Drosophila melanogaster: one gene and its partners. The gene in region 4 interacts genetically with the main gene of each other region. Each region holds a gene or a part of one and is shown on either strand. Other genes may lie near its edges.

The links.
Region 1: of H (region 4) and ed, changing one suppresses a phenotype caused by changing the other (phenotypic suppression), as found in Drosophila melanogaster (3 studies listed by BioGRID).
Region 2: of H (region 4) and sno, changing one suppresses a phenotype caused by changing the other (phenotypic suppression), as found in Drosophila melanogaster (2 studies listed by BioGRID).
Region 3: of H (region 4) and pzg, changing one suppresses a phenotype caused by changing the other (phenotypic suppression), as found in Drosophila melanogaster (2 studies listed by BioGRID).

Annotation. Positions count from the first base shown.
Region 1 is NT_033779.5:4,028,776-4,035,774, reverse strand, and holds the start of ed (echinoid), read right to left. Parts: upstream 4,399-6,999; 5' UTR 4,220-4,398; intron 3,353-4,219; 5' UTR 3,100-3,352; coding exon 3,006-3,099; intron 1-3,005.
Region 2 is NC_004354.4:13,207,899-13,214,528, forward strand, and holds the start of sno (strawberry notch), read right to left. Parts: upstream 3,777-6,630; 5' UTR 3,205-3,776; coding exon 3,202-3,204; intron 1-3,201. Other genes in the region: REG (proteasome regulator gamma), read left to right, coding at 4,691-5,060, 5,258-5,625. UniProt on the Drosophila melanogaster protein: Notch pathway component, may contribute to the specificity between lateral and inductive Notch signaling pathways in the wing disk. Required during many developmental stages including oogenesis, embryogenesis and imaginal development of the eye, wing and leg.
Region 3 is NT_037436.4:21,283,503-21,291,951, reverse strand, and holds pzg (putzig), read right to left. Parts: upstream 5,854-8,449; 5' UTR 5,516-5,853; coding exon 4,885-5,515; intron 4,825-4,884; coding exon 2,465-4,824; 3' UTR 2,406-2,464; intron 2,347-2,405; 3' UTR 1,642-2,346; downstream 1-1,641. Other genes in the region: CG12974 (uncharacterized protein), read left to right, coding at 6,817-6,897, 7,482-7,770.
Region 4 is NT_033777.3:20,619,004-20,628,761, forward strand, and holds the start of H (hairless), read left to right. Parts: upstream 1-2,934; 5' UTR 2,935-3,492; coding exon 3,493-3,495; exon of another isoform or gene 3,496-3,580; coding exon 3,581-4,295; intron 4,296-4,367; coding exon 4,368-4,541; intron 4,542-5,127; coding exon 5,128-5,888; intron 5,889-6,038; coding exon 6,039-7,590; intron 7,591-7,756; coding exon 7,757-7,785; 3' UTR 7,786-9,758. Other genes in the region: CG5466 (uncharacterized protein), read left to right, coding at 1-625, 859-1,079, 1,159-1,352. UniProt on the Drosophila melanogaster protein: Is a potent antagonist of neurogenic gene activity during sensory organ development. The expression of distinct cell fates by the trichogen (shaft) / tormogen (socket) sister cell pair depends on the level of H activity.

The DNA of each region.
Region 1 (6,999 bases), on a different chromosome or scaffold from region 4:
TACACGAACCGAGAGATATAAATTCTCCGCTTGCGAGTTATAAATTCCATATGCCAAAGCATCAAAACAAAAAGGGGTACTTGTTTTTATTTTTTTATTTTTAGTTTTGCCAAAATAAAACTTTGGGTGATTTGCAGAGAGGCAAAAAAGCTGTGTTTCCGATTCCATGGGGTTAGATTGAAATTCGGGGAAACATAAACTAAATGTTGGCCACTTTTTAAATTCCAAACTTGGAATACACAGTATTAGTTCTAAAGCTATACAACTTGTTTCAAATTCCTGCCTTATTTTATAGCAATACCGTAATATTGATTTAATGCCTTTACAAATTGCCTCTTTGTGCACAAAATAACTGCCATAATTTGCTGGAATGCCCAAAACACATTTCAACTTTAGTTTGTCATTTCTTTTGTTTACTAAAACCCAACCCTCTAAGTATCAATATTGCCACAACGGACAACAAAGTTTTCAGCTGGCTAAACCAATTTATTGCATCTAAACTCAAAATCCCCTTTGAAGCCAATGCCTCTGGCCATCTCCTCTTTTCCACTTTCCTGTGGAATCCAGCTTTGATTTTGCAAATGCAAATTGTGCATATAGATAAATTTTCCTCTGCAGGAAAAGCGTTTCTCATTTCCACCGCATCTGTTGCCAGCCTCTGCTCCACCTGTCTCTTTCTGCACCAGTGGTCCCTTCTCTTTCTTTTGCTCTTTTTTTTTGGGGGGGGGGGGCAACCCATTTCCGCACACGTCGCTGAATTTTGCACGTAAAAAATGTTTGAAACAAACAAAATATTTGTTTAATTTATTTTAATTTCAAAGTTGCAGCAGTTGCAGATATTTTTGCAGCAAGCGTGTGCGAGTGTGTGTGTGTGTATGTGTGGAAAATGATATGAAGGGGACCAAAAAACAAAAAAAAAAAAAAAACAGGGACAATAACAACTCCGGAAAAGTGAGAAAAACTAAGCCACAATCATAATTCACGCGCTAAAAACACGGAGGGAAAAGTGGGAAAATGGCGGGGTAAGGTAACGTTTTAGGAGCGCAGGCATTTGGAAAAGCCAGGAAATGAAATGAATGTGGAAAACTCAAAGGGAAAGCGGCATGGAAATACAGGAAAAAGGGCGACAGTTAGCAGGTAGACAAACGAAAATAAAAACCAAAGGCAGACGAAATAAACATAAAAACCAAAGGAGACGCACACAAATTGTTGCAAACTGCCTTTCGAGCACTTCTTAAGCAATATCCTGTGCTGCTCCTTGAGCATTTTACTGTACACACAACGGCACCGGGGATTTTCCAAGGAAAACTCAACCAAATTGGAATGCACTTCAAGGATCAACAGGATAAATGTGCTGACAATCAAGTAGATGGTGTGGGAAAAAGACACAAGACATGGCTAAAAATAAATCATGGAAGGGGCGTTTTGGAAAATGTTGGTTTATTTAAATAAATATTTAAATATTTTTAAACTATTTATACATTACATATATAAGCACGAAACCGCTAAGGTTATTAGTTCAGCCCATTTGCACATTACCAAGTAATTATTATCCTAAGCCGCCAAAGGTCTTTAGTTTTCCACCATTCCTCGTTGCTAATCTTTTAATGCGTTTTTAATGTCTGATCCCTCCGATCCGCGTGCCTGTTTTAAATGTCAATTCCCTCTTGGCCACTGTCATCAAATCTAATAATGCCCCCGAGTGGAGCAATTCCCCAGAAGCTTGAGGCCTAAAAAGCCTCCATAGAGAGTTCATTGATTTCTCGTTTTTTTTTTCGGTCGGAGGCGTTGACAGTTAAAGCTTCAAAGACGACTTTTACGAGTAGTTCGTATAAAAGCGTTGGAAAACGCGTGTCAAAGGCCCAATTAAGATGTCAAATCAACACGTTTTGTTTATTAACTGATTGCACACACACAAAACACGAGCTGAAAACGCGGAGAGCGCCATAAAGTTAATGGTGCAATATATCTTTTGAGGGGGTTAAAAACTCAGAGGGACTAGCCCCCAACTAATCGCCAGACAAATTAATAAAAAGGAACTGGCTGCTCCCCTTTTCGACTTCCCTTGACCGATTTGCCCGATTGAGTGGATATAATTCACATTTAAATTTAGCCCCAGCCCCCCCCCTTTGCCGACTTTTCCAGGGGTTCTTTAAGTATTAAAAAGCATTTTGTAAGCAAAGCATTATGTGTGCGGAAGGGAAAAACTTTGCCGAAGCGTGCCAAACTAAAGTTTTTCCTATACTTATACCACTGTGTCCTCTCCCCCAGTTTTGCGCCCTTTATTTGTGACACAGTAAATATTCTTGCATAATAACAGCATTTCCTAACTGATGCGGAGCATCTGGAAAGTGGAAAATTATGCTGGAATTTTTAATTAAGACGATACTTATATCTTTCAGACTGTCAAGTGTGGATATAGACATAGTAAATACATGGTTAATCAGTTTTTTTCATGGAATATCGACTTTACTTTAGCTACCGATTCAATATCTTCCTAGTAAATGCTGCCAATTGACAGGAGCCAACAAAGGGGTGGGCTGCGGAAAATTGCGTGGAAAATTGGGGAGGCTTGGGTAGCAGATAAAAAACTTTACGCTGACGTCAAGCTGCAACAACCTAGATCAACAAAAAACTAAAGTGACGTCGCAAGGTGACAACAGCAAAGGCGACTTGAAAAAACAGGGGGAAAATGCCGGAGGAAAGTGGCGGAAAAAGGGGAGCTGTCATAAGCAGGGTATGTCAAGGGCGGAACCGAAACTTTTAATTGATTTGTGATATGCGTGTGCCGAACACAAAGAGTGAGCTAGCGAATAGATTGGGATTTATCGGGAGCTATCAATCTTACCACCGATAAACAAATGAACTCAAGTGATACCCCCTATAGATATTTAAGTTCTGGAATAATGCTCGAGAAAAGCTGGGTAATCTTCTTAGCAATTATATACATATATAACTCCATTGCAAACAAAAAGCTTCTTATCAAACGAACAAAGTAAACTTACCGATGAGAAAAAAGTTGCATATAGTCGTTGCTGCTCTCCTCGCACTCCTGCTATTGACTATTGCCGTCCCTTTCGTGGTAGTTTTTCGCCTCATTTTGTGACTATATTTTGAATATATTTTGTATATGTTTCTACTGTTTTTGCTTATCTTTGGGTGCTACTCTCAATTCCCTTTGCAAAAACAATTTTTGCTACTTTTGCTGGACTTCTTATTCCAATTCGCAGTTAGTGGTGTTGTTGCAACGCTCCATTGCGTTGGTTAATGTTTTTATGCTTTCGACGATATAGTATTTTTTATTTATTGCACACGAAACTTTGAACGGATAGCCGAAAACGAAGAAGAACAACTGAAAAGGGTTAAGAATGGTGTTGTTGATTAGAAATTGCTCGGCTTTGTGGGGTTAAGATGTTGTATGTGGTTCCACGGGCATTCTTGTTTTTTATTAGTTATTCAAGTGCAGTTTATGTTTATAATCCAAGTCCTTATGGCAGTTGTTGTATTATCACTAATTCTTTTAAGTTGTATCCATCCATTGTTTTTTTTTTTTCATAAATTTGCAATAATTAATAATATATTTTTTATTATTAATATATCAAAAAAATTTAACAGGTTTTTTTTACTTTGTTTAAGTTTTCTTTTTCATCTCATTTATCCATATCTTTGCTTCGCCTTTATCTACCTCTCCTTTTTCACAGTTATAACTGCATTTATGCTTCACACTTTTTCGTGCTTGTTGTTGCTTTAGAGTTGCAACATGTTTTTATTGCTTTTGTTGTACTTTTGAGCAGGTAAGAAAATCACTTAAAAGGTTTCCAAGAAACACACCAATACACGTTATACACACAATCACACGCACGCATACACATACACACGAAATGGACGCTAAACCTGTTTCCCAGGTAAATCGGTAAAGATGTGCGAGTGCGAGGGGGACAGAGCGATCGTCAGAGATCGTGGATAAAACGGGAGGGAGGGAGCGAGATAGAGATGACGCAGATGCTGCGTTTTTTTCTTATTTATCTTAGCTTCGTTTCCTTTTCTTAAAGTTTTAACTGTTGTTTATTCGAAATAAATCTATTATTTTGTATTTATTGTTGCTTGCTTGCATTGTTTTGATTTTGTATACCGTTGCTTTTGGTCTTTCCACTGCCACTGAAACCACACACACACATACACTGTGCACAGTAATTTTGTATAAATTTCAATTTTATACCTCAAATTTAGTATATTTTCTGCGTTTTACCCAATAAATTGGGACTGTTGTTGTTGCTGCTGCTGAGTTGTTGTTCGCACACACGCGGAAATCGACGAAAAACGCGGCGGGAAATTCAGACAACGCGCGCTCACTTTTCCACGAAGCGTTCGATCCGAAATGGGAAAACACACAGAGAAAGGGAAACGAAAATTTGAGCCGCAGCCGCAAAATTCAAGTTCCACAACACAGTCCGCACAAGTTCGAGTCGAACGCGTTTGATGAGAGCCGTTAACAGCGCTGTTAAGTTAAGCTAACATGTTTGACTCGACTTTTATTAAGAGAACATAATAGCGAATTTCTCTTAAGTTTGATTATATTCAGAAAACAAATAATAAATGTTGCCTTTATATTTTAGGCATGTAATGTTTTCAACAAAAGAACCAATAAATTTGAAATAATTTTAAAATTGTTTTTAAGTTTAAATCATCATGTAGTTTCTTTTATATGTAACTTTTAAGGAGAAGTAAACCCATTTTGGAAAAAAAATTGTTTCATTTGGTTTTAAAAACATTGTATGCGTATTTATATATTTTATATTTTTTTCGTCGATAACGGACCCAAATGGTGAAAATGAGCCTAAGGCAGCAACGAATAGAAGCAATTTTGTATGGAAATTCAATTTGCCTTTAGCAACATGTTGCATTTTCCTAGAGGTTTTGAGTGCCTTTTTCCAAGAAAACTCGTTTCTTTGGCCAACAAGAAAAACCAGTCGGGAAATTAGTCAAGAAAAATATAAATAAGAAAAGCCAGCAACAAGTTGGTTTTAAACCAGAGGGAATGGTATAGTCGAGTTTCTCGACTATCAGATACCCGTTACTCAGCTAGTGAAAATGCGAATGCGAAATGCGAAAGTGTTAGAAAGTGTGTTGCTAAATCGATTCGGCTATTGTTCCTGATCCTGAATATATATACTTTATAAAGTTGGAAACGCTTCCTTCTGCCTGTTACATACTTTTCAACGAATTAAGTATACCCTTTAACTGTACGAGTGACGGGTATAAGAGTGGTGCGAAAGGTGCGGCGATAGTGTACATGCAACAAGTTCGAGCTTGAAGGCAAGTAAACTTCGTTAAGTTCGCACATAGCTATGTCCATCTCTTTCGCACCCCCTGTAGCGATCTACATTAAACCAGTTATCTTAAGAGTTTGTGAAGAGACCTCCTTCCTCTTGCACACCTCAAGTAAACCCGTTTTCTAAAAAACACGTTATATTCGAGACGAAAACCTCACTGCTACGACACTCAGCAGCTTAAACCTTTCTTAGACTTTTTTATGACCACACCCACGAGCCAGGTTACAAAAAAAAACTTAAAATTGTTTGTACTTTCAAATAACAATTATACCGTATATAGTATAGTATAGATAGTGTTTAGATTATCCACTAAAATCAGTACGCAATTGTTATAATTTACCCAAACAGTAGCACTAAGTCTTGGTATTATGTAGGGTTTTTTCTTCTTTTTTTCTTTTGAGAAATACCGCGAATGATTGATTTTTTCCGCTTTGTTTCTGAGCAGCTGAAGTGGCTCTGCATATTCAATATTTTTATTTAGCAGTCATGCCACGCGCTTTGCATAATGAATGCATAGGACTTACAAGCAGCCCAAGAATGGTAAATAATTTTAAAACAGATTTTCTGCTCGTTCTGTCTGTTCTGTCGTCGCTGTTCAATGTTTATTGAATTTTTGATTTGGGCCCCAAGGTGATTTCTCCTCATCATAAAACGCCGGACATGTCCCGCTACTAAAGACGCATACAAATGACCTTTGGGTTGGCGGGCTGGCCCCGCCCCCATTTCCCTCAGGTGAAAAGACGACTAGACAACACAACCACTCCCCCCCCCCCATTTTTTTCTTCCTTCCCTCGCTAGGAGCACACGAAAATCCAGCTTAATTATCCCTATCCCTTGCTTAATGTTGCTGTTTACTCGTAGATCCTGGTAATTTCCTTAGCATTACTTTCCTTGCATATTAATCGCCATAAATTTGGGTTAAAATATGTATTAACCATAGGGACAGTCACGGATAAACATTTTTCTACTTCCGTAGCTTTATAGATTACAAATACAACTCTTCTCCCTAAAATCGATTTCAATTTTCATTACTTGATATCTACGACTTCTTCTGAAAAGAGAGGCTTAGATGAGGAAGTCTATATGAAACTCAACTCTTAATTTGAAAAAAAAAAACATTTTCAGAATCACGATGAAGATTAAGAAGAAGGAGTTGAATTTCAAAAAGAAACTGGCTGGCAAAATTAAGAACCCACAACATGATCTGCGGTTTTGAAGACTGCTTGAATTACAAGTGAATTAAAGTTAATACATATATAAAAAATAAGAATAAAAAATAAGTAAAGTTGTAGGCGCATAAGATGAAAACAAAAAATAAAAGCAGGTAATAAACAAGACAACAACAAGAAGCACAAAAAAAAGGTACAATAAGAATATCCATGAAGAAGACGAAATAAAGTGGAAGATGAGAAAGAGAGACAGAGAGAGAAGGAGCAATTCTTCTACCTAAGCAACTTCTTGTTTTTTACCTTCTTATTCTCCTTTTGCCTACCACTTCTTGTTGCACTCACTCCATGTAATAAAAATTGGTAAGAAGTGATGGCGAGGGGTAAGAGAGTTGCGCCAGTTGAGAGAGAAAGAGAGCGAAGCACTATGAGTGAGTGAGATGGAACAGCACTGTCAGTCAAGTTCAAGAAGTCCGAAAAAGAAGTAAAATAAAGCCGCT
Region 2 (6,630 bases), on a different chromosome or scaffold from region 4:
GCTGCAGTTTTTCGACGGCCAGCGACAGGAGGGGTTAAACGGGGTTACCAACGGGTTAAGCAGGGTGTTATGGGTGCTACGGGCCCGCCCAATGGGGTGGGTTTTTGGCCAACATCTCTCCACGGTCAGGACGACGAAAGGCAAGAACGGAGAACGTAGAACGTAGAACGTAGAACTGGGAACAGGCCGATAAACAAACGCGAGAGGCCAACCCCTTGGCGAAGGACACAGTGGGTTAAGTGCGAAGCAGCATGTCCCAATTAATTAGTTAATTGCCATACAGGTATCATCAATAAAGAAATATTTCCTATTTTATTATTATTATTATTATTTTTTTTAATATATGGATTATAAATTGAGTTTGTTTCTTTGCTTATTTTATTAAAATAAATTTATTCATTATCTTGTTTTTATCTTCCAACTAGAGTTTGAAGAAGTCACTAAGATAACTATCGTATCTACCAAACTAAGATTTATTCCATTCTAACCTTTTCATAACACAAAATGGTCGCGGACCACAGTGCCCCACTTTAGAACGAAAAAGGGGTTGGCATTTTCCCACCCCCTCCGCTTGTGGAAATTAAACGAAGTAGCAACAACAAAATGTTTGGCATGCAGAGATACGAAGTTTCCTCCTTTATGCGTAATATGCATGTGCTTTCTCTGCTCCCAGAAACCCCACATCCCGCATCCCACGGCCCACCCACCACACCACCCCCTCAACCCTTCTAGCCACCCTCTCAACCCCAACCCCTTTAAACCAAAGGGTTTTGGCTCAGTTGGCAGCTGAATGCGGCCAAAGGGGTTGGTCAGGGGGACTGGAGCAGGTCGAAAGTTGTGGAGGATGAGGGGGGGGGGGGTGCCAGGAGGAGCAGCAATCTGCAGCGCATGTACAGCAATTAGAGCAAGACAGACTGCTGTGGCTGTGGATGTGGGCACGTCCTTGGGGAAGGGGTAGGGTGCTGGTGGGCGCCGGAGGGTGGCGACGGGTCTGGTTGGCTCGTTCGCTGGCTATATGCGTTCAAACATATATACCGTGTACCTCTGTGTGCTCCGGGATAAAACAACTGGCAAGGGACTTGGGCCAAAAGCAAAGCAAACAGAAGCAGCCGAGACAAACAAATGCAGTGAGGACAGTGAACGTCCGCTGGAATGATCGATCACTATAAAAACTGATCTACGACAGTGCGATATATTCTCAACATTTTTCCAATCAGATTTCAAAAACCAGCTTAACTCAAGTAATCACCTCTTTAAAATGAATATTATTATATTGTATTTGGCTAGGATAGATAGATACTAGATACTTAATTAATTAATCATTTACATTGAAGTCATTTAATTAGGCTCAAAAGATAAAAATAAGAATTCGCTATTAGCATCTGAAATGCATTCCTCAACGAAAACATAGTTCTCACTCCCAAATCAATTCTAACTCCGCAATATTTCATCCACACCTCCGCCTGTTAATGGATTGCAACATTTTTGTTGACACACAAAATAAAATCAAAACGAATGACCTTGCAACAAGGGAAATGTTGAAAATCTGTGGCCAAAAACATGTGTTTCCATCAACCACCCTCTCGCACAAATAGAAACATCAACATGTTGTTGCCAAAAAAAAAAAAAAAAAAAAAGTTGGTATGAATTACGAAAAATAAACAGCCACAACATTAACCCTTATCAGCAGGGTAGGCGAATGAAAAAATAAAAACAAAAGGTGCAGATAAAAACGGACAAAAAAGGACACAAACAAAGGCCAAGGAAAATAGACCTGAAAAATGTTACAAAAATGGGGAGAGATTTAGCTAATAAAGGCTCCCGCTCCCAGGAGTTGGCAAAGAGATGTTGACCGGGCCGAGGGAAATGTGAAAGCGCAGGCGCCAAAAAACTCGGAATGCATTGGCCAAAGCGGACACGGCGATACATAACACGGCTCGTAGGACCACTTACCCACCCTCCCCAATCAGAAATGCTCTGGCTGCAGCAGAGGAAAAGCAGCGCAGCTTGTGTGGGAGGGGCAACTCGCATTTCTCAGGATGCATTTCTGAGCTGCAGCTGCACCAACTGCAGTTCTACAGTGGAAACCCCTTAGCGGGGATTCTATCGAACTTTTGCGTGAGTGGTTTGAGTCTCTGCCAGGGGTTCCGTCGCTCATGCCGAGCAACAAGTGTGAGGAAAAAAAAACTTGGAATAATAACGAATAAATCCGGGTAAATAAACGATAATCAAATCTATTTCTTTATCAAGAAAACAAATTGTGAATCGTATTATTATATCATAGGGATAAGGATAATTTAGATAACAAATATGTGCATTTTGAGAGGAATTAAAGTTATTTTCTTTGCACGTAAACAAAAGCATAAGCATTTCACAAATCAATCACTGTAAAGCTGCGGTACTTGTAAAACACTTGAGTAGTCAAAAGCTGGCATAAGTATATCAAATTTCCAGTAATTGATGATACAAATAAATATTATTAACATATTTTATAAAAAATGATTCTTTGAATAGATTAGCAACACTATTACGGACTATATAATTTAAATTACATTTGTAGAAATAGAAATTGTATGGTCATAGTTTTGATAACATTCAAAACGATGCCGCCCCCTGAAAAATAGTTGTCATCCTCAATTCAATGATGCACCATAGACCCATAGCCCCATACCCCGCCCATGGTCTTAACCCACATGTTGCCCCTGAGTCGCATGGCCTTAACCCTAACCTAGCGCAACTTTTGTCGACTGAATTCGTTTAACTCGTGTGCGGGGGAAAAAACGCCAAAACTAAACTCAGCGTGTGTGCACGAAAGAGAGGGGCGAGCGCTAAGAGGGAGTATGAGAGGGAGAGAAAAACACATGGTTCCAGGCCACGCGAATCTGCGATATAAAATGCATCCTTAGAAATTACAGAAGAAAACAATTGCAGATAAAAAAAACAGCAACAACAACAAAATGGGTGGACGAGGAAAGAGCGAAAGGCGCAAGAAAAGGAGAAACAACAATTATTGAATGAGTTGGCTACTGCTCCTTCTTCTCATTATTATTCTCCTTCATCAGCTTCTGCAGCCGCTTTGTTTTTGTTTTATGCATGTGTGTGTGGGTAAATGTGAGTGTGTCAAAATTTAGCAACAAAGAAATTTATATTAAGTCATGCTATTGACGGCAACAACAAAAAAGCCAGCTAACTTAAACTTACCATTTTGATTCTCCTGCTTACTGCTAACGGTGGTTGTTCTTGATGTTCGTCCCTCCGATGGTTCTTGTTGTTGTTGTTAACCACAAAAAAAAAATCAACAGACCGCGCACCCACGCGTTTTTCGTTCTTTTCTTGGTTTTTTTTTGTGTTTTGTTTAAAATTTATATATTAATTTCTTTTTAACAATGCGTTTTTGATGCTGTCAACGGAACAGAACAATTGTGCGGCAAGTTAGATAGCAAATGCAGCAAATATAAAAGGCTGGACTCCGCAATTTTCAGCGCGTTAGAAATGTTTTTGTTGTTGTTGTTCTTCCTGTTGTTATTGGTGTTGCGATAATGACTGCATGCGTGTGTGCATGCGTGTGTGTTGTTGTTGTTGAGTGTGTTTTTCTTTTGTTGCTGCACGCGGTATTTCGCTTCGGATAAATTTGTTCGTATGCGTTGTACCGCGCAATACACGCAAAACGAGGAATCGGAATAAAGGAGGAAGGAAACGAGAACGAGACGAGAATGAAGCGACGAAGCCGAAAACACACGTAACATGCCAACTATCGCAACTAACGAGATGCCAACTAGATAGAGCTGGAAAAACATCGATGAGAATCGATAATGGTGAAGCGAGAAAACGTCAGTTTGACGATTATTGATAAGAATGCCGATGTATACTAAAACTTATATTTGGGCACACTTATTTATAGCGTGTTTGCTCTAAAAATATTAATAGCTTAATATTACTTATAATATATATATATGGAAAATATTTTAAAAATATAGATATTTAAATGAAAACATTTTAAATTGCACAAAGGGAGACATAATAAACTTACTTGGTATTTAAACAAATCTATCGGTCTGGCACGCGGTGCACACAAGACTATCGATAAATGGCGCGCGTCTTATTTCTTTATATTTCATGATATATATCCGTTAAATTCTAATCACGTTACAACAAAGTATATGCAAGTTTAACATGGTAAATGAGAAGCGAGCTTCAGCTGTTGCATTTAAATAAATGATGCCAACTGCAATGTACATTAATGCATTTAAATATGTTTTGCCAACTTTAATGTTCAGCTAATTTGTTTATGAAACTGAAAGTAATTAGAAGACTTTCAATCTAAAAAAAGTATAGAAAAAATATATATTGACATTCAAGATATTTAAGATACTTGTGGGGTATTAATTTGCAAAATTTCTGCAAACTTCGACGCTATCGATAAGCATCGATTATTCTTTTTCTTCCACCTCTAGCACCACATGCGTGTTGTTGCTTGGGCATCAAAATTTGTCGGTAAGTCTGGTTTTCCCGCTTTCAATTTCGCAATCCGCCGACACAAGTCCCTAAAAGTCCGCCGATTTCAGACGGTCCGCGTTGCTGATTGTTATTGAGAAGATAAGGAACGAGAAGAACCGGTACTACGCCAGGAGACAGGACTCAGGATCAAAGGCTTCCACGGACACGAAAAGGAATCCACATAGCTAACGAAATGCCTAACGACACTGTGGTAAAGGTGCAGGAGTACAAGGACTCGTTGATCCTCAAGGCAGAGCTGCTAATCACCAAGGGGTTCCCGGAGAATATCGTCCGGCTGAACGAGCTGCTGGCCACGCCGATCTTCAACGAGCGCAACTTCGAAGAAGTGCACCAGGACCTCAACATCCCGGTCCTGCCGCCTCTCCTGGTTAAAAACGAGTTGGAGGATCGTGACAGTCTGCCCACCAAGCGCCAGCGCGTGGATGTCATCGTCTCTGGGCAGCCTGTCATGGGTCTGCCCGCCGGTACAGTGCCGTGCAACAAGCCGCTCTGCGAGATGATCAAGGTCGTCAAGCCTATCATCAGGAAGCTTGTGGAGGATTGTAAGTACACCGTATATTCAAGCGTCTCAACCTAATAAATGTTTTTATGCTATTCAAGAGCCCCTTCAATTTTCCTAAAACAATGAATTCCAAGAATTTTTACATTCGAACGGTACAAATGCCAGTAGCTAAAGTTTTGCCTGACATTAAGCTTTTTAATGAATACCTAGTAATTTCTGAATTGATTTCTTTTGCAGCCAATCTACTTAAGATGTGGATCTCCTTTATGATACCCAAGATCGAGGATGGCAACAACTTTGGCGTCTCCATTCAAGAGGACACGCTTGCCGAAATTCAAACTGTGGAATCCGAGGCGGCCGCCTTCTTTGACCAGATATCGCGCTATTTCTTGTCGCGCGCCAAGGTGGTGTCCAAGGTGGCCAAGTATCCGCACATCGATGATTATCGGCGCGCAGTCGTCGAACTTGACGAGAAGGAGTACCTCAGCTTGTGGCTGGTCGTTTGTGAGGTCCGCAATCGCTACTCCTCGCTGCACGACATTGTTATTAAGAACCTCGAGAAGCTAAAGAAGCCGCGCTCCTCAAATACCGAAAGCCTGTATTAGGCTAGGTATTTCCGAAGCCCGAGCCTCAACTTTTTTTTTTCCTTTCCATCATCTTACTTTTCAATCAATAATCAGCCCGTAGAGCGGACGGTCAGCAATTCTTGTCGCTACTCAAAAAGCTAAGATTTTCCAATTCGGTTTACAAACATCAAAATTCTTTAATTGAAGAGCAGTGATTGAACAATAGCTGTAGCCTAACTACCATCAACTATTAATCCATTTGTACTACGTCTAGAATGTAATGTTGAGATTGGCGTACAATACAAGAAACCGATGCTGTATAGATTCCACTAATAGCTATAGCTATGCATAAAAAGAATAGGCGAGCTCCATTGACACATTTTTTCAACATTTCCTAATGTAAATTTATAACACGGGCGCCCCTCATACGGAAAATGTCCTTAAAAATGTGTGAAATATAAATCTTTATAAGTAATTCGCTCCGAATAGGTAACACTGTGCTTGTTTTCTTGTTTTACGTATTGACTATGGGTTCTACTTTGGGGATTGATATCTATCGCAAAATCGAAACAGGCGCCCAGACATTTAATAAGGTGGAAATTATTGCATTCGATGCGGCCAATCGAAAAAGACAACCTTCTGATTTAACAGTTCAGAAAATTCTTAACGTTACTATGAATTAAAAATGCCCGCCAAAATGTCACATAGTAAATTCTTTTGCGTTCGATATTTGTTTAAAACTGGAAAAAAAAACAAGAATTAAATATTGCTTACCAAATCTACCAATTCTGTATATATGCACAATTTCTTTAAGTGTGTTTGCCAGACAGCTGCAATGCTATAGCTGCCTGCTACGGCACTTCGGTTCGAACATGTTCGCTTCAAACGCCCGCCAAACAGAAAATTCAAAACACCAAATGGTTTAAAAAAAAGGAAGTGTATATTGAATAAATCAAGAACATAATTACTATTTACAGCTAGTACTATCGAATTTATATTTACAACTAATTTAACTACATCTCGACCCCATACATACAAAAACAT
Region 3 (8,449 bases), on a different chromosome or scaffold from region 4:
CAATAAATTGCAATCAAAATCCGTACATTATACGAGTACTGCAATGGTGAAACTGGCTAAAATATGATAAGCATGTTTGTGGAATTCAATTTAAAAAACCCATAGGGGTTATGCTTACTGACATGCAAATAAGGAAATCGGTAAAGAAATCGGTAAAAATAAAAATATAAAAATTAAAAAAATTATTTAATAGATGCAGAAGAAAAGAATGAATAAAATGTAACGCTTTAATTTAATGTAATTGTAATAATATCTTATTTCTTGGTAATAATAGAAAACTTTTTTAAGAACTATTGTCTCAAAGAAAGCTAAGACTCATGGAGTGCAAAACGAATCAAATCCAGTTTTAATGCTTATGTCTTATAAGTGAAACGCAATTTTAGTCTTACTTAGTTTATCGAGAGCGTGTTGAAACCGGCAACTATAATTATGAAATATGCTAAGAATGCTTCTTTTAAATGCTCTTTTTAAAGCTTAAGATTTATGGACCGCAAAACTAGTCGAAGTCATGTTTTCTATGCTAATGACCAGCGAATCAAGCGCACCGAAATGTCAGCTTTCATCAGCGCACCCTAGATCTGTGAGCTTCGCTATAAATCTGTCATACCCATCCGATCCAATCTGATCCGATACAAAGTGCGACCTTGTCTTTAAGAACGACTTTCGCTTTTCGATGCGGCAATCGGCGAGAAGATTGCGCCTGCCGTCGCTCATTTGCATGTGGGCGCCTAATTAAGGCCGTTGCATAATATTGACCGACTCTCGAAGAGCGACTTAATGTAACCGACAGACTAGCAAGCCAAGTGGAGTTGACACCGTTTAATGTCACCGAACCGCAACAAGTTGCTGATTGATGCTGTCGGCTCAAACTAAATCCCCAATTTGGTTCCGGCCTCGAAAAGATTACCGCGCCCATCGCCAAAAGTTCACCGTGTAAGTGAATGAGTTAGTTGCTAGAACAACTCCCTTCCATTGAAGCGTATTCGAATATAAATTATTCATGGCGAGTTCGTTTATCTTATCTTCCTTTCAACAAATCCATTATATAAATGACAAACAACCCGCAGGCGCAGATCACCAATTTGTACGCGTCCTATTTTTGTATTCATAACTATGAAATAATCATTAGTTCCTCCAAAACCGCATCCACGTGCCAATCCGGTTGCTGTTTTCAGAATCACAACATTCACTGATTTATGGATCGGAACGGGGCATTCATAAGGCCTTCATGACAGTCCAAATGCTTTAATGCCACCGCTGGCAGTTTAGTATCCAACTTAGTATTAAATCTTATTAATCAACTACCTGAACATTTAAATATAGTCGACCTCATCCGCCGCCAACAGGTGTTGGGCAATTAAGAACGAGTCGAAAGTTTCGCTGGTATGCATACTTCGAAAATATCATTCATAACCGACTAATCCATTTTAAAGGTCAACGAACTTACTGACTTGAGAAATGAATGGTTGGATCCATACTGACAATATGTAAACTTTGGGACTGCCTTCTGTGTCATCTGTATTCATTGGAACACAGTTGCCATCAGCGCGTTTAATTAACTTATCTGAATTGATTTACATGCATACCAAATTCCAAAGATCGCTCACAGAGTATAAAGGAACTTGAAACCGATGTTCGTTTCTTTACAATTATATATTTCAAGTTGCTTGACATATATACGTGCATGCATATATTTGGGCGTGTTTGCGGCCTGTGTTTGTTTGTTTTGGGTGTGAATCTGGAGTTTATGGAAGTGGAAAGCGGGATTGTTCACCTATCCTTACATTTTACGGGGATCACTAGGTGTTAGGAAGCATCACTATTTCTGAATTGATTTGTGCCGATTTCGGAACTTAATTTTCATCAAATGTTTGTGTTTAAATCGATTTATTTAGTGTAATTGTTGAGTTATCTTGTAAATACATACATTTATTATATTCCAAGTTTCTCACATAAACTCTATGTTTATACATTTTTTGTCGCTTTCATCTTGCAGTTTTGTCTATACTATTACTAAACCTAGATACGATATTTAAGAGGCAACCAAAGAGATCTGGCTTGAGATCCCTGGCAGCCTAGTGCGAAACGGACCGAATGAACAATTTGATTTATTGAATTAGTTTTTTTCCTTTGCTTGGGTAATAAGAAATCTTTCTTTTAGTTTACTGGAGTGTTTAATACATATACTAAATGTAAATATATATTGAAAAGGTTCGTGTGTGTATTTTTCTGTCTTCGTGTTCAGTTGTCTGTAAAGTTGGTTCGGTTGTGGGTGTCAGGGAGTGGGTTTCAAATTGGGGTGTGCAAAAGTCCTCCAGAGATCTTGAGCGTGCCCACAGCTAAAACCTAAAACAAACGAAAAAGTATGAATATCCCAGTTCACGCTGGTGATTCCTTTAACTTACCAGTCCTCTTCGCATGCCAGTATGGTATAGTGGTCATGACCACGCCCCTAGGGCCAATCCTAGTCGGTCTTTGTCTCCGTAAACTCCTCCAGGGCAAAAAAGCTGCCGCCGGAGGGGCCACCAGTGCTGCTGGCCGTGCTCGTGGCAACAACGGTGGTGGATGCCGTGCCACTAGATGCCTCCGACACTTGCACTTCCTCGCCGGCCGAGTCGGCAGCCGCCTCCTTGTCATCTGCACCTCCGGAAGCGCTGGCTGCCTGCTGTGCGGCCTCCAGGACCTGTTGCTGAACCTGGACGATGGGCTGGCCATCTTCCGTGTACGACACGGACACTGGGATGCGGGTACCATCCTCGCTAATGACATGAGCGCCTTCCTCACCATCCTGTCCCTGCTGGATAATTAACTGCCCCTCGGAGTTCAACAGGGAGGCATCGATAAGCTGCTGTTCATTGTTGTCACCATGGACAAGTACCATCTGGCCACTGCCATCGGTCATCATCTGGAGGGTTTCGCCCTCAAGTCCCTCGCCGGACTGCAGAACTCCTACACTTTGGAGCAGCTGCTGTATTTGCTCGGGATCTTGCACAATTATTTGGTTGCCTTCGGCGTCCGTCAGGATGTGGTTGTCCAGCTGGAGGAGATGGCCGTTCTCGTTAACAATGAACTTGATCTGGCCACCTTCCACCTGTGCCTGCATGGCTTCGTCAAGTTCCATGGCAACATGCTCGCCACCTGCAGCTTCACCCGCCTCGCCCTCGGCTCCAGTACTGGCAGTAACCTCGCCTTCGCCAGATTCACCGGCTTCAGCGGTCGTGGCATTGGCCTCCGACTCAGTTGTGGGCGTATCTGTAGCCTCACGCTTAGCAACTACGTCTCCTTCGTCAGATGGTTGTGGTTCCTCAGCAGCGGCGGCTTCCTTTGACTTGGCGCTTTCTCCAGCCTTGGCCTTGGCTTTCTCTTGACCTGCTTTGCTAGCCGTCTTGGTTTCCTCTGAGGCCTCAGCTTCAGCAGCTGCAGCCTCGTTGTCATCATCTAAACTGGGCATGGAAACCGGTGCGGCATTGGATTTGCTATCGGCAGAGGAGGCCTCGCCGCTTTCGCCCTTGGCATCGATGCTGCCCTGGGACTGTGATTCGTCTTCGGCTTGATCCAAATTTGGCATGTCAATGCTAACAGAGACAGGTGCTGTGGTATTGGGCGAATCCTTTTGCGATTGGTCTCCGTCCGGTTGCGGGATAGTAATGTTGAAGGTTATGCCTCCACTGCCCTCCTGCGAGGTAATAACCATCTCGCCGCCTTTGCTTCCCGGTTTGGGCGCCTCACCGCTCTCGTTCTTGTCGGAGTGGAGCTTTTCAAACAGGCTCTCAATGTCGGCCTCTGCGTTTTGCTCGCCGCTCTCGTCACCGGCCTTACCAGTTGCCTCTCCGGGCTCATCGCTTAGTAAAGCCGTAGCTGCCGAATTTAGGGCAGTGGCTCCGGCCGAAGTTGCCTTCTTGTCACGTCTGTGGGTCTCCATGTGGTGGTTGTAGTATGTCTCCTGGATGAAAGTCAGTGAGCAAATGCTGCACGAGAAGAAGCGTATGTTGTTCTCCGACTCGGTGGTTGCCACCACAGCAGCTGTCGAAGCAGGCAGGCTATCGCTCAGTGCCTCATCAATGGTCTCTTGAAGGAGCTTCTGGGTGTTCAGGTTCTGGCTAACTGACTGCTTGGGCGATACCGTCGATGCGGAAGGACTCTGATGCACTTCGAAGTGCTTAACAAGCATCTCCCGTTTCGGGAAGGTCATCGAACAAGTGCCGCACTTGAAGAAGTTGGTCTGATGCTGTTTGGCATGCACAGTAGCAGCTTCGCGCGTCTCAAAGCGCTGAGAGCACAGGCGGCACTTAAAAGGCTTAGGTTTACCAGCGGCATGCTTGCGCATATGCTCATCAAAAACGACCTTGTCCGTTGACTTGAACTGGCAATGATTGCATGTGTATAGCGATGTTCCAACCAGATTCTCGTTGGCAGCAGCTGCAGCGGCAGCTGCAGCAGCAGCCACGGGAGCAGCTGATGCCGGTATGGTGGTGGTGCTGGTCACCAGTACATTGGTAGCGTGATTCGTCTCCATGTGCTTGCGCAGGCTGTTCTCGTTCACGAAGTTAATGTGACACATGGCACACGTGTTATCCATGGCGGTATTGTGGTCGCGCACCATGTGCTGCTTCATGGCCCCAAAGTGCGGGAAGATTTTGCGGCAGGTCTTGCACTGGAAGGTCTGCTGCTTGCAGGTTTCATAATGCGTGTTGAACAGCCGCATATCCGAGGTTTTATAGTCACACGAGGTGCATTTATAAATCTTGGTGGCCTTGCGTTGGACTGTCTGGGTGCCTTGGACGCTGCTCTGGGTGGTTCCTGGGGCGATCTTGGACTGGCCAACTGTACGATTGCAGAATATGCATTAGGAAAGCTTTATAATTTCTGTATTTATGTACTTACCTGGGTTTCCCTGCAGGAGTTTACGTGGACGCAGCAAATCCGCACTAGGACTCTCCTCCAACGAGCGATTGGCGGATCCGCCGACCATTTTCTGCATCTTGAGCGGCGGACTGCCTTCCTGGCCCATATCCTCGTTAATGGCATACTTCTTGTTAAGCAAACTGATGAGGTTCGTCTTGACGCGCTCCACATCGTTTTCCAGGCGGTCGTAGTAGTTCACCAGGTTGGTACAGCGTGAGCACACGTAATCCTCGCCGCAAACAATCACGAGGAAACCCTCGCCCACGAGCTGGGCCAGTTTGTTGGGGAATTTGGTGGAAGTGTGCGTGGTGCACATATCGGTTAGCGAAGTCTGTGGCTCGCAGCGGTCATCGCAGATATAGCATCGCGTGGCTAATCCGCCGATACCCACGCCACCCGACTCTGCATCGTTGACCGCCTGCTGCTGTGCTACGCCGCCAACGGCTGAGGCTCCTCCGGCAGAGGCACCTCCTCCTCCGCCACCACCGGGTACCACCATACGCGTCGACTTGAGGATTCGCGGCTGGCTGGGACCGGTCACAGTGACCGCTCCGCTACTGAGCAGATTGTTAAACTTGCGGTAGGTGGCCGGATTCAGTTGGTTGTTCATTTCGTGGCGTTTTGGATTCAGGTGAGCACGCCGTAGTGATGGTGTTATTCGGTTTGTGCGGGCGCTACACGCGCAACTGCAAGCCGCTACCTTTCAATATTAATCGGCGATTACGACAAACTACACTTCTGCACTCCGGTTTGGCAGCTTGCTGGGATTTATGTATCGATCGGGTACGGATGAGCCACTCGAACGAAACAATCTATCTTTTTTGGACACCAGGAACAACAATCTCTTCCGTTTTTAATTTTCGGTTTCGTTCTGAGTTGTCGCGGCGTCACTTTGACTGTACTAAAGACTCGGTGCTGTATTTTTTAGGGTTAAAAATGCGTATGTGCTGTAGCAGTTCTCGACGGACGCGTATGGTCGTCTCGCTCTTTAGCATGCTCGCTGCCCTGGCACGGCGGGAAAACATGGGCTAGTCGTTTCACTCGCACGCCACGGAAATGGCGGCTGCCTGGGAGGTCAACCATGGTCAGACAGAGAAAATCTCACAGCGTTGCCGTTCATTACGATAACGTAATTATTTACTTGAAATAATAAAGCATTTATTTTTCTTATTGCGATTGCTGAGTGGTTAAATACAAATAAATACTTACTTGTTGTGCTTGTATTTGTAAAAGGTAAATAATTAGCACATTTTGTCTTGAAAAAAGGCTCAGCGTCATTCCTATCATGCAATGTCAAAATTAACAGTGCGTTTTGTAGACAGTAGAGGGCGCCTTTGCCCGCCCACTTTAAATTCACAAATATTCTCCTCGTAAATATTTGGCATACCCAACCTGTGAGGTAAGCATTAAATACTTGCATTTACGCAGTGATAAAGGCCAACATCACTAATGTGCTAATACATAGGACCGATAAGATTCCGAAATTCCAGTTTTACCTATTCGATTTAGGTATATCTTTTAGCCAAAGGAAAGTTGAAGGGAAGGGGGCTCTCTTATCAGTAGCGATAATATAACATACGACCTGATAAACGTTCCAGCCAAACCACAGAATTCAGTTAACGAACGAAACGAAAAGCGAGCGGATACCGCCTCGATCGAAGCGAAACATAAAAAATAAAAGCCCCTGGCCAGTTGGCTTTTTGTTATAAGAGCCATTATCGCAAGGTTTATCGGGAAATATAGTAAACGGGTGGCGAACTCAATTGTCCGGCTCGATCGTTCAGTTGGCCAACAGACGTCGCGTACTGCAAAAGCGCACTCAACCCGATCGATTTGAGTCCCGCATACGGGGCGTGAGAATATCTCCCAGTATCTGGAAACCACCCCTATATATCGAACAGTCACTGCAAAATGTATTCAGCACCAGCGGCAAAAATCAAGCACTTTGGCTCCCTTAAAACGGTAGCAGCTTGGGCCGGAATTCTCGGAGTGGTAAGTCGGCGCTGGCAATTCAATGTTACAGTCTAGGCCGCCAAGCGACCGCGACCCCATTCCCAGCTCATCGATAAGTGATATGGGGAGATGTTCGACCTGACATTGAGCGCACTTACTAAGATTGGATGGTCTCTCCCTATCGAATAGTCCAGTATTCCAACAGTCGGAGAGCTAATCATGATACGAGTATAATACTCATTGACTCATCCGGGACGGCTCCCAAACTGAAGAACTGAGCCGCACCACAGATATCAGATAATGCCGATTGACGTGTGTAAACAAGTGAATGAACAAAAGATCTAGATTGGGACACTAAAAAACGTAAACGTAAATAAGTACATACAAAATTGGATATTTCGCTGGGTATGAATAATATCACGATCTAGAAGCCATCCAACCTCTTTAATGACGGAACACGAAGAACAAACGATAAAACAATTTTATTTAATTAATTTTCAATATAAATATAAATTTAAAAAAACATGACAAACAAAAACCGATTAAAAATAGTGCTCATTTTTATTCAGTGTGGCTCTGACGTTTTGAGAACTCCTCTTATTTTATTGTTATTTTTATTTCAGGCCCAGTCCATCATCTGGATGGGCTTGACCATAACAGCGATATGTGCCTACAATTGTGTCCTGTATATTACAAATGACCTCACCTATGGCTCCATGGTCAAGACTGTATTCTTTGACGTGTACTTCAAGGGCAGTTGCAAGATGAATCCCAGTGATTACCAGAACTACGACCAAACCATCCTGAATACAGTGACTACTGTTTTTGATCCCACCCAGATTTTGATCTGGAATTCGGTCTACCTGGGCGTTTCGGTTTGCTGGCTAATCGTCTCCGTTGTGCTGCTACTGTGTAAGTACTTTAAGAACCGGAAATGAACTGCATACATAGTTAAGATATCGAAGCCTTTATGATTCACGAGGAGAAATCTAGAAATTTATTTGTGAGGCATCCAAAACTTACGCATGGCACACAGCCGTAAAGCCCAAATAAACAAAACTTGATGATAAGTTCGCTGGGAACTTATATGATGGGTTATATAACGATTTCATTAATGGTTCTTTCCCACCATATACAATTTTCAGCATTTGCTATTGGCTTTCAAAGAATTAAGCACATTAGCCCACAAGTAAACTGGAAAGTCTTATTCTTTGTTATAGACAGATATATTCATTCATACAATTCGTTTTCTAAAGTTAAAATATAGTAGCATGGTTATAGTTATAGTTATGACTCAATCTTAATACTGCTCAAATATGTACGAAACATATCTTATCTAGTAATTGATTAATTAAAATTTGTTAAGTGCTATTTACTTTAATTTTGAAACCAAAGTGATTAGCTTTTTGACACATTTTAGAGCATACTTTACTCGTACATAATGGTCTTTAAAATTATATTACCTAATGACTCCATTATAAGATTGATTGATGTATCGCCAATAAGTAAGCCCATTTAAGTATCACATGTTTAGCGCCCTGTTATGTTCCTGACAGCACTTGCCCGTAATGGATTACACTTAAGTTAATAA
Region 4 (9,758 bases):
CGAACGTGGAAATCGATCTGTCCAAGTCGACGGGCGCGAAGGTGCCCCAGGTGCCGGTGCCGCCGCAGTTGCAGCACCTGACCAAGCAGCAGCAGAGCACTCTCCAGACGCAGCTCTCCCAGATCAGTGCTGCCGCCGCTCATCATCAACAACAACAACAGCAGCAACAACAGCAACAGCAGCAGCAGCAGCAACAACAACAGCAAGCAGCAGCCAAGCACCAGCAGCAATTGACTGCTGCCCTCATCCAACAGCAAAACCGTGTCCTCGCCCAGCAAAATTTAGAGAAGCTTAGCAACCACCTCAGTCCGCTGGAAAAGCAGCGAGTTTTCGCCCAGCTGGATCCAAAGCACTTTGATCCCATGGCCGTTGCGGCTGCAGCCGCCAATCTTCAAATCCAAGGCCTGATGCAATCGCAGGCAGTGGCTGCCGCCGTCGCCGCCAATCAGCAGACTCCGGCGGCTACGACTACATCTGCTGCAGGAGGAGCTGCAGCCGGCCCGCAGGCCCATCACGGACACCATCCCTTGCCACCGCCATCGCAGTCGCCACACTCATCCTCTTCGTCTTCCTCTCATTCCTCGTTGGACCAGATTACCCACAAGAACGTCGCCGACTCCTTGCGGTGGGTGAGATTTATTAGATATTATTATTTTAAATTCTTTTTCTTGGCAAAACATGTGTACAAAGACTTATTTTTTTATTAAAACAAACAAAAAATATTGTATGTATTTGATAAGTAACGAATTAGGTTGTTTACAATATTATTTATTATTTGCTATATGTAAAGTAAATTGATCACTTTTAAATGTTTGCTTTAGGCCCTTAATTGAATTCATTTAACTTTTCCGATTTCAGTTCCAATCTGGACTCAATAGAATCGAATAAGGATCTGCTGGCGCTGCACAACGGAGCCTGGGCCACCGGCGATGCCAATCGAATGGATCACTTGGCCGTGGGTCAGGACAAGATAGTGCGCATCTTTGCGGAGCTGATGCGAAACATGTCGCGGATGAAAACCTACATACGTCCCTCGATGTGCAAGCCCTACGGCAAGCAGAGTGAGAGTCTGCAGAAAAGTGAGTACCTTGGCTGGGAACCGGTTTCGCTATCTGCGATGCTGACCGCCTCCTGCTTGCTCGTTCTCTTCCCCGACAGCCCTCATGGACACCATTCAGATCGTGCAGACGCTGCGCAACTGCCTCCCAGCTCCTCACATACCCGTGTCGTCCTGGAAAAGTGAGAGCGAGGGCAACGTGGGATCAGGAGTGAGCGCGGGAGTAGGAGTGGGTGTCCCTGCAGGACTTAACCTGGGCGCCGCCTTGGGTCTGCCATCGGGCAACATGCACTAGATGCGGGCTGGAGCTCATCGGGTAGCATGCAATAGCTCCGGATTTATCCACTCACATTCTTCCAGCAGTTAGAGAACACTTAGTACTTACACGCAGAGAAAAGCATAGATGATAGGCATAGCAATTTACCCTCGTAGGCGTGGCTCCAGTTTTCCTTTTAGCAATTACGTGCCATGTTCAACACAAGACTTGATTTCACATTTTCCACATTTGACTGACCTTTAGGCATACATATGTATCGAATCCCGCGGCTTGAATTTGATTCCCATCACTCTTTGTTTTCCAGTTTGGCATGCAAAATTATGAAGCAAATCGGCAAATTAGTTAAACAATTGGCAAAACGTCTGTGATATTTGAATTATGTTGGCAAACGGAAGACAAAACTAAATTTAATTTATTACGTTGTGTGCCCTCTGTTGTAATGTCTTACTTTTTACTTTGTGCAATATCTACTAAGCATATATTCTTAGCCGTTCTCGTGCAATCGACGACTTTTCGCCCATATCAAAAGCAACTCGAATGTAGCCTATACTTAAACTAACCTACTGATAATCGGACATGATAGACGCGTAAGACTTACATTATATTTTGCATTAGGACTTCAGAGTATCTGAATAACAATTGGCGGATGGCCGCGGTGGCGAAAGCGACATTACGAGTTGTGTTTAAATTTAAGAAGCTGAAGAAGGGTTGTACTCCGCATGCAAGGGCTATTTAAATATATATTTTAACCCGCCCGAGCTCACCATTACCAGAAATTCGATAAACGAGCAAACAGTATTATACGCAATAAAAAGACACCTGCAACCATAAGTATTTACCTAGCTGATGTGTGGGAATTTATCGTAACATACCATATTATCGCTTAATGTTTAACTTCTGGACTTAATAATAAATAAATATTTTATTCTACGACAAAGAAGAACTTTTCAATGTAACATTATTAACTGCTTTAAGTCATATCCTTAAACTTTCGCCTTGAAAATCTTTAAAACCCTACAGGTATTCCAAATTAATAATCTCAGGTGCTAGAAATTTAATTAATATATTTTGGAAACAGCATAAATTAGTGAAAATACAACATTGTTTTAATCAAACATTTTTAAAAGCATGTTTTCGGTTGCAAAGTTTTCCAATTTCAATCCTGAAATTAAAGTTGAGTTGAACAATTGCTATAAAAAGCGACCATTTATTACGTTTTATAAACTGTCCCGATTGTGATTTTAGTTGTTTATTTTATTTCATATTTAAAACCGTTACTATTTTAAAAATCGTTCGCTAAAGATTGTGCTTTTAAGCATTGATAACTATCGCTAATTGCCAGAATTCGTAATCTTATTTGACTTGAATTGTAAAAATATAGGATTTAGGATTTTTACCAAATAGATGTAGTTCAAAGAACACAATTCTTTTTATTATTAAGCATTTTATTTTGGGAGTTCCTTGCACTAGCTTTTTGCAGCGACCTGTGTGTAAGCTTACATTGAGATAACATTAATGTGAACGTGCAGCGAATGCAGCACTATAACATTGGCCAGTGGAAACATGATATTTGCTAGCATGCTGACTGGCGCCGTGGATTTTGACGTTCTTAGTTGACGGTCACACAGCGCACCGAGCTGCGTTTTTCGTTGATAATTTTTAAATTTATTTATTAGTTTATTGGTTGGAAATAGAGCTGCCCCCAACTGCCCGCTGACCACGGAATTATCGGTCCGGTCCACCGACCTCCGCTTTCACACACTATTCGGCAATCGATATATACGCTGACGGTAATTGGAGAACGTTTTTTCCATTTTATCTCCACCTTGTCCGCACTTCGTTTTGTGCTCTCTTTGTGCGCTGCCTCCGCTTAACATTTGGGCCTGTAAGAAACACATATAAGCAGAACGGCCCGCCGTGTGTGCCTGTGAAATTGGTTAAATAACGTACAGTGGAATGGGCCAATGGCCAAAATGCAATAAGAATATGTGTGTGCAATAAAAATAGGGAACGGTACCGTGCCCCAAAACATGAAAATGGTGCTAGACGCTCCTAACGCCGTGCCGAGCTGGCATATTTTGCTTAGCGACGCCGTCGGCTCCGTTTTTCCCGGCCGCGAACTTTGCGCGAGGAATTTACAACAAAAACAATGAATTAAATGGTATTTAAATTGTCCATATAATGCGGTTTGGAAATGCGAAATTGTGCCTAACTTGCCCAATGCAAACGAATGTTTCTCTTTGAAGGCCCTGCTTAATGACGTCACAAGCGTAGCAGAGTGCAACAGACAGACAACAATGACCGATGAGCATAAAAGTAACATTAACAGTAACAGCAGTCACTCCAGCAACAACAACAACAACGGCAGCAGCAGCAATAACGACAACAACAGCAACGACGACGCAGCAAGTAGCAGCAACAGCAAAAACAACAACACCAGCAACGAGAGCAGCCACAGCAACAACAATACTAGTAGCATAATTGCAGAGGCGGCCGCCAAGTTTCTACTGAAAAATGGCCTAAACGGCAGTAGCAGCACCAGCTACCCCCCTCTGCCACCGCCTCTGCCCGCCAACTTAAGCAGGACGACCACGCCCACGACAACGACAACGCCCTCATCCTCCAGCTCCACCGCCTCAAATGGCTTTTTGCCGCATGCCAAGACGCCCAAAAGTAGTAGCATTATGGCTGCGTCCGCCGCAGTGGCAGCCAGCGTCGTTGGAGCTACTGCGTCCAAGCCCACCATCGATGTCCTGGGGGGCGTCCTGGACTACAGTTCCTTGGGCGGAGCTGCAACAGGCTCACTGCCCACCACTGCAGTAGTAGCGGCGGCAGCGGGAACAGCGAAGATCGGCAAGGGAAGCAACTCCGGCGGAAGCTTTGATATGGGCAGGACACCAATATCGACGCACGGCAACAACAGCTGGGGCGGCTACGGTGGTCGTTTGCAGTTCTTTAAAGGTAAGTATCTTGGTTTATTTATACCGAATCAGAGCAGTGTAAAGAAAACCATTTTTTAACTATTCTGCGTAGATGGCAAATTCATATTGGAACTGGCGCGGTCCAAGGATGGCGATAAAAGCGGCTGGGTTTCGGTCACGCGCAAGACCTTCCGCCCTCCATCGGCGGCCACCTCCGCAACTGTGACCCCAACGTCGGCGGTGACCACAGCGTATCCAAAGAACGAGAATTCCACATCGCTGAGCTGTACGTAACACATGGCATAGTAGTTCCCAACGGATTACCCCTTCCATTTAATTACTTGACCCGATTGGAATCAGATTTGAGTAAAAGGAATTGGATTTTGAAACATGTGTAGATAGCTAGCTTAATCCGAGCGGTCAAAGCTTACAAACACTTGCAGTTATAAAAAACATGTGCCTATTTGACTTAAATTGTTCTAATGGCACGTAGAGGATAAAGTCCAATTTCGAAAACAAAAAATCTGTAAAAAACGACCGCACCTATGTTCAAATCTCTGATCTATTTTAAAACTGTATATATCGGCCATCTCTAATATTATATTTAAAATCTACGAAAATGTCAAACGTTTTAATGAAATAGTAAGAAAAAACCAAACTGTTCAGAATCGGTCATGTTCTTTGTATGACAGTTTTCCAATTCGATCCTATAAAATATAATGTCCTCCCATCCTTGTATACATTTAAATCCTATTTCATAAATTGTTAACAATCTGAATCAAACAAAAGCAAATATTTATTTATGCCAAACTATAATTAACTACTACAATTTGTCTATGTATACCTTGCGTTAATATTCCTCTTCATTGCAGTTTCGGACGACAACAGCTCGATACAATCCTCTCCTTGGCAGCGAGACCAGCCCTGGAAACAGTCCCGACCCAGGCGCGGCATATCTAAGGAGCTGTCGCTCTTCTTCCACCGCCCCAGGAACAGTACGCTTGGCCGAGCTGCTCTCCGGACAGCCGCTCGCAAACGACGGCGCCCCCACGAGCCGCTTACCACCAGCGAGGATCAGCAGCCCATTTTTGCGACGGCAATCAAGGCGGAAAATGGAGACGATACTCTTAAAGCAGAAGCTGCAGAGGCCGTTGAAATTGAAAATGTTGCTGTGGCGGACACAACCACAAATGAGATTAAAATTGAAAAACCGGACACGATCAAAGGCGAGGATGATGCTGAACGGCTCGAAAAGGAGCCGAAGAAGGCGGTTAGCGATGATAGCGAGTCAAAAGAAGCATCGCCCGGTCAGCAAGTGGAACCACAACCAAAAGATGAGACTGTTGATGTTGAGATGAAGATGAATACGAGCGAGGATGAGGAACCCATGACAGAGCTGCCCAGAATCACGAATGCCGTAAATGGTGATCTAAACGGCGATCTAAAGGCGAGCATTGGGAAACCAAAATCCAAGCCGAAGCCAAAAGCCAAGCTCAGCAGCATCATTCAGAAACTCATCGATAGCGTACCAGCACGGCTTGAGCAAATGTCGAAGACATCAGCTGTGATCGCATCGACAACGACGTCTTCAGATCGCATTGGTGGCGGTCTAAGTCACGCCTTGACGCACAAAGTAAGTTTTACTTGGCACAACCTGCATAAGCTGCGGTTTCAAATGTTAATCATGTACTGCAACATTTTTATTATGTTAAAGTTGTAAATCTAGTTAGGGACTTTCATAAAGAAAAAACTTTGAATTGACCACTTAAATATCTTCTTTTAGGTTTCTCCACCCTCTTCTGCGACAGCAGCCGGACGACTAGTCGAGTACCACACCCAGCACGTGTCGCCCAGGAAAAGAATCCTGCGCGAGTTCGAAAAGGTGTCGCTAGAGGACAACGGATGCGTAAACAACGGCAGCGGTGGAGCTAGTAGCGGTGGTGCTGGAGGAAAACGGAGTCGAGCAAAGGGAACTTCGACATCGTCTCCGGCTGGCAAGGCGTCACCAATGAACTTGGCGCCACCCCAAGGAAAGCCAAGCCCCAGTCCCGGCTCCAGCTCATCCAGCACTTCGCCAGCGACCTTGTCAACGCAGCCAACGCGGCTCAACAGCTCTTACAGTATCCACTCCCTGCTAGGTGGGAGCAGTGGCAGCGGTAGCTCATCCTTCTCCTCCTCTGGCAAGAAGTGCGGCGATCACCCGGCAGCTATTATCAGCAATGTGCACCATCCACAGCACTCAATGTACCAACCCAGTTCCTCGAGCTATCCACGCGCCCTGCTCACCTCGCCAAAGTCGCCCGATGTGAGTGGCAGCAATGGCGGGGGCGGAAAATCGCCCTCGCATACAGGAACCAAGAAGCGTTCGCCACCGTACTCGGCGGGATCACCCGTAGACTATGGCCACTCCTTCTACAGGGATCCCTATGCGGGAGCAGGTCGTCCTTCCACATCGGGCTCAGCATCGCAGGACCTGTCGCCACCGCGCTCTTCCCCAGCATCGCCAGCCACGACGCCGCGTACTGTGCCCAAAAAGACTGCATCGATCCGACGCGAGTTCGCTTCACCGTCGGCCAGCAGCAGTAGCTGTCCCTCGCCCGGCGACCGGAGTGCATCGCCCCCGGAACGGCGGCACATGCAGCAGCAGCCGCACCTACAGCGTAGCTCGCCGCTGCACTACTATATGTACCCGCCACCGCCCCAGGTGAACGGGAACGGCTCGGCCGGAAGTCCGACCTCGGCGCCGCCCACGTCGAACAGCAGTGCAGCTGCAGTAGCGGCGGCAGCAGCGGCCGCAGCCGCATACATTCCCTCGCCTTCGATATACAACCCGTACATATCCACACTGGCGGCGTTGAGGCACAATCCGCTGTGGATGCACCACTATCAGACAGGAGCGTCGCCCCTGCTGTCGCCACATCCACAACCCGGTGGCTCAGCGGCCGCCGCTGCTGCAGCTGCTGCTGCGAGATTATCGCCCCAATCGGCCTATCACGCGTTCGCGTATAACGGAGTGGGAGCGGCTGTTGCCGCTGCAGCAGCTGCGGCAGCCTTTGGACAACCGGCGCCCAGTCCCCACACGCATCCGCACTTGGCCCATCCGCACCAGCATCCGCACCCGGCTGCACTGACCACCCACCACTCTCCCGCTCACCTGGCCACGCCAAAACTGACTGATAGTAGTACCGACCAAATGTCTGCAACGTCCAGTCATCGCACAGCCTCCACTTCGCCGAGCAGCTCGAGCGCATCGGCCTCCTCCTCGGCGGCCACTTCGGGCGCCAGCTCCTCCGCAATGTTTCATACTAGTAGTCTAAGGAATGAACAAAGTTCAGGTAAGCATTCAATCAGTGCACCAATAATGGCAAGCAGTTTGATGATTCAATTTTCATTCCTCTGGGAATGTCTGAAGAAAATATATTACAGATCCATTTATTATGTTGTCAATTTAATGCACGTAAAACACAATTTAATAACGTTTCTTATTTATTTCTTCCTTAGACTTACCACTGAATCTGTCAAAGCACTGAGACATACACACGCCCCAGCTGCCCCAGTTTCTGGGCCAACCATTCGAGTTAAGAACATTTTCGCACTAGTAGCGCTTAAGACGACATTCAATACACGTAATATAATTTGATAAGTTCGCTGATAGTTTAGTTGTAACCCGATTGTTTAATCCTAAGCCTAATCCTAGGTTCTCAATTAGGGCCGAACATTTAGAAATCGCATACAAAAAGAGATGAAAAACTCAACTTTGTTTTTAAACCCGTTCCAGAACTCTTTATACAATCAGTTGAGAAATTTTATTTTCGACAAACTGAATAAAATATGCAAAGGAATTTTATTCTATGCCGACTAATGGAAAGAAATACTAATAAAAACATTTTCTATAGGATGTATAAAATGCAAGTCTTAAAGAATCTCAAAAAAGAGTTACGTTTTTTTCATCAAAACATTTCCTTGAAACAGACTGAACCTGAATTTTTTTAGAAAAAAAAAATGAAAAACTTAGTTACGAATCGCAAAATATAACATTTTAAAGTATATTTAACAAAACTACAAGAACAGATTTTTATAAAATGCTTGTGCCTTTAAAAATGGAAACAGAACTAGGGATACAAAAATTAATATTAAAAAGAAAAAGAAGTTTACTATAAAAACATTTATGTGCAAGCATGTGCAGGTATTCTATGGTGAAAACTTTAGAATTTCTTGATATCGTGGTCCAAAATGCAGTTGACAGGAATTTGCACTAAGCAGATTGTATACGACACCAACTTTTTAAGTACTTTTAAAAATGTATCTTTTAATTATTTCGGAATAATTATTCTAAAATAGTTAAAAGATAAAAGCAATCCAAAACTATACAACTCGTCTGTACTTCAAAACGAAAGAGATTACTCTTTGGTCTTACATTTTTTGGTAGACTGTAAAAACTAAAATTCGAAAAAATTGTTGAAGTTTGAATTTAAATCCTCGGCGGATCTAAATTTAACCTCCACGATTGTTGTCACCATCAAAAATATTATATAACTGTGCCTAGTGCACATTCGCTGTCAGTGGCTGTCCAATCAAAAACAAATAAAATGTACAAAAAATCCACATATACGACAAATTTACAAGAAACGGAAAGCAAAAAGATCCTAAGCAGACAATTTCAAACCGGAACTCGTACAACTGAAACTGATACAAATAAAAAACATATTCCTAACGCAAAAAGACAAAAACAAAACGCGGTTTCTCATATTTTCTAAATTATTTATATAAATCAAATGTCTATTTATATTTACTGATATGATAATGTGTAAGTAAATAGGTGTAATTGTAAATACAGTATTTTTACACAACAAAAAGTTAATCAATACGCGAGAAATAACCAATATATTTAATATAACTATTTTTATAACGGATTTTAACAAGTAACTGTATATTTTGTATCTGATTACGCAGAATAAAAAACAAAACGAATTCCATATGAGGTCAAGAACAGTTTGCACAAGGCGGCCTGAAACTTGCTTAAAACTTAATGCACTGAACAAAATCCGAACTAAACACATCTGTTCCAGGCAGATACAAAATATTTTCCAATGGAAAAATGGAGTAGATTCATTTATTTTTTACTAATCAATACATAAATCTTTCAGTTCGAAATTTTTAAGCAAGTTGCAGTCGGCTAAACTTTTTAGTAGGCTTTAATGAAAATTAAAAAGAAATATAAATACAATTTTCATACAAATTCCATATGGTTTCTACTACCTACTGATTAGTTAGTTAGATAGGCGTCTAGGGACTATTAATTTACATTTGTAACGGTACTGTGTACGACGTTTTTGTTTAACTGAACGGTAGTGTTTTTAATTTGAAATTCGATGTTTTTAGTGAGTGGCTATTGTTGAACGAACACATGTACTATGTGCATTGTCGAACAATGTGCGCAAACCCAAAAAAATAATTTTGGCAAAAAGTGAAATATATGAAGTAAGCAAATGGTTTCAAGATA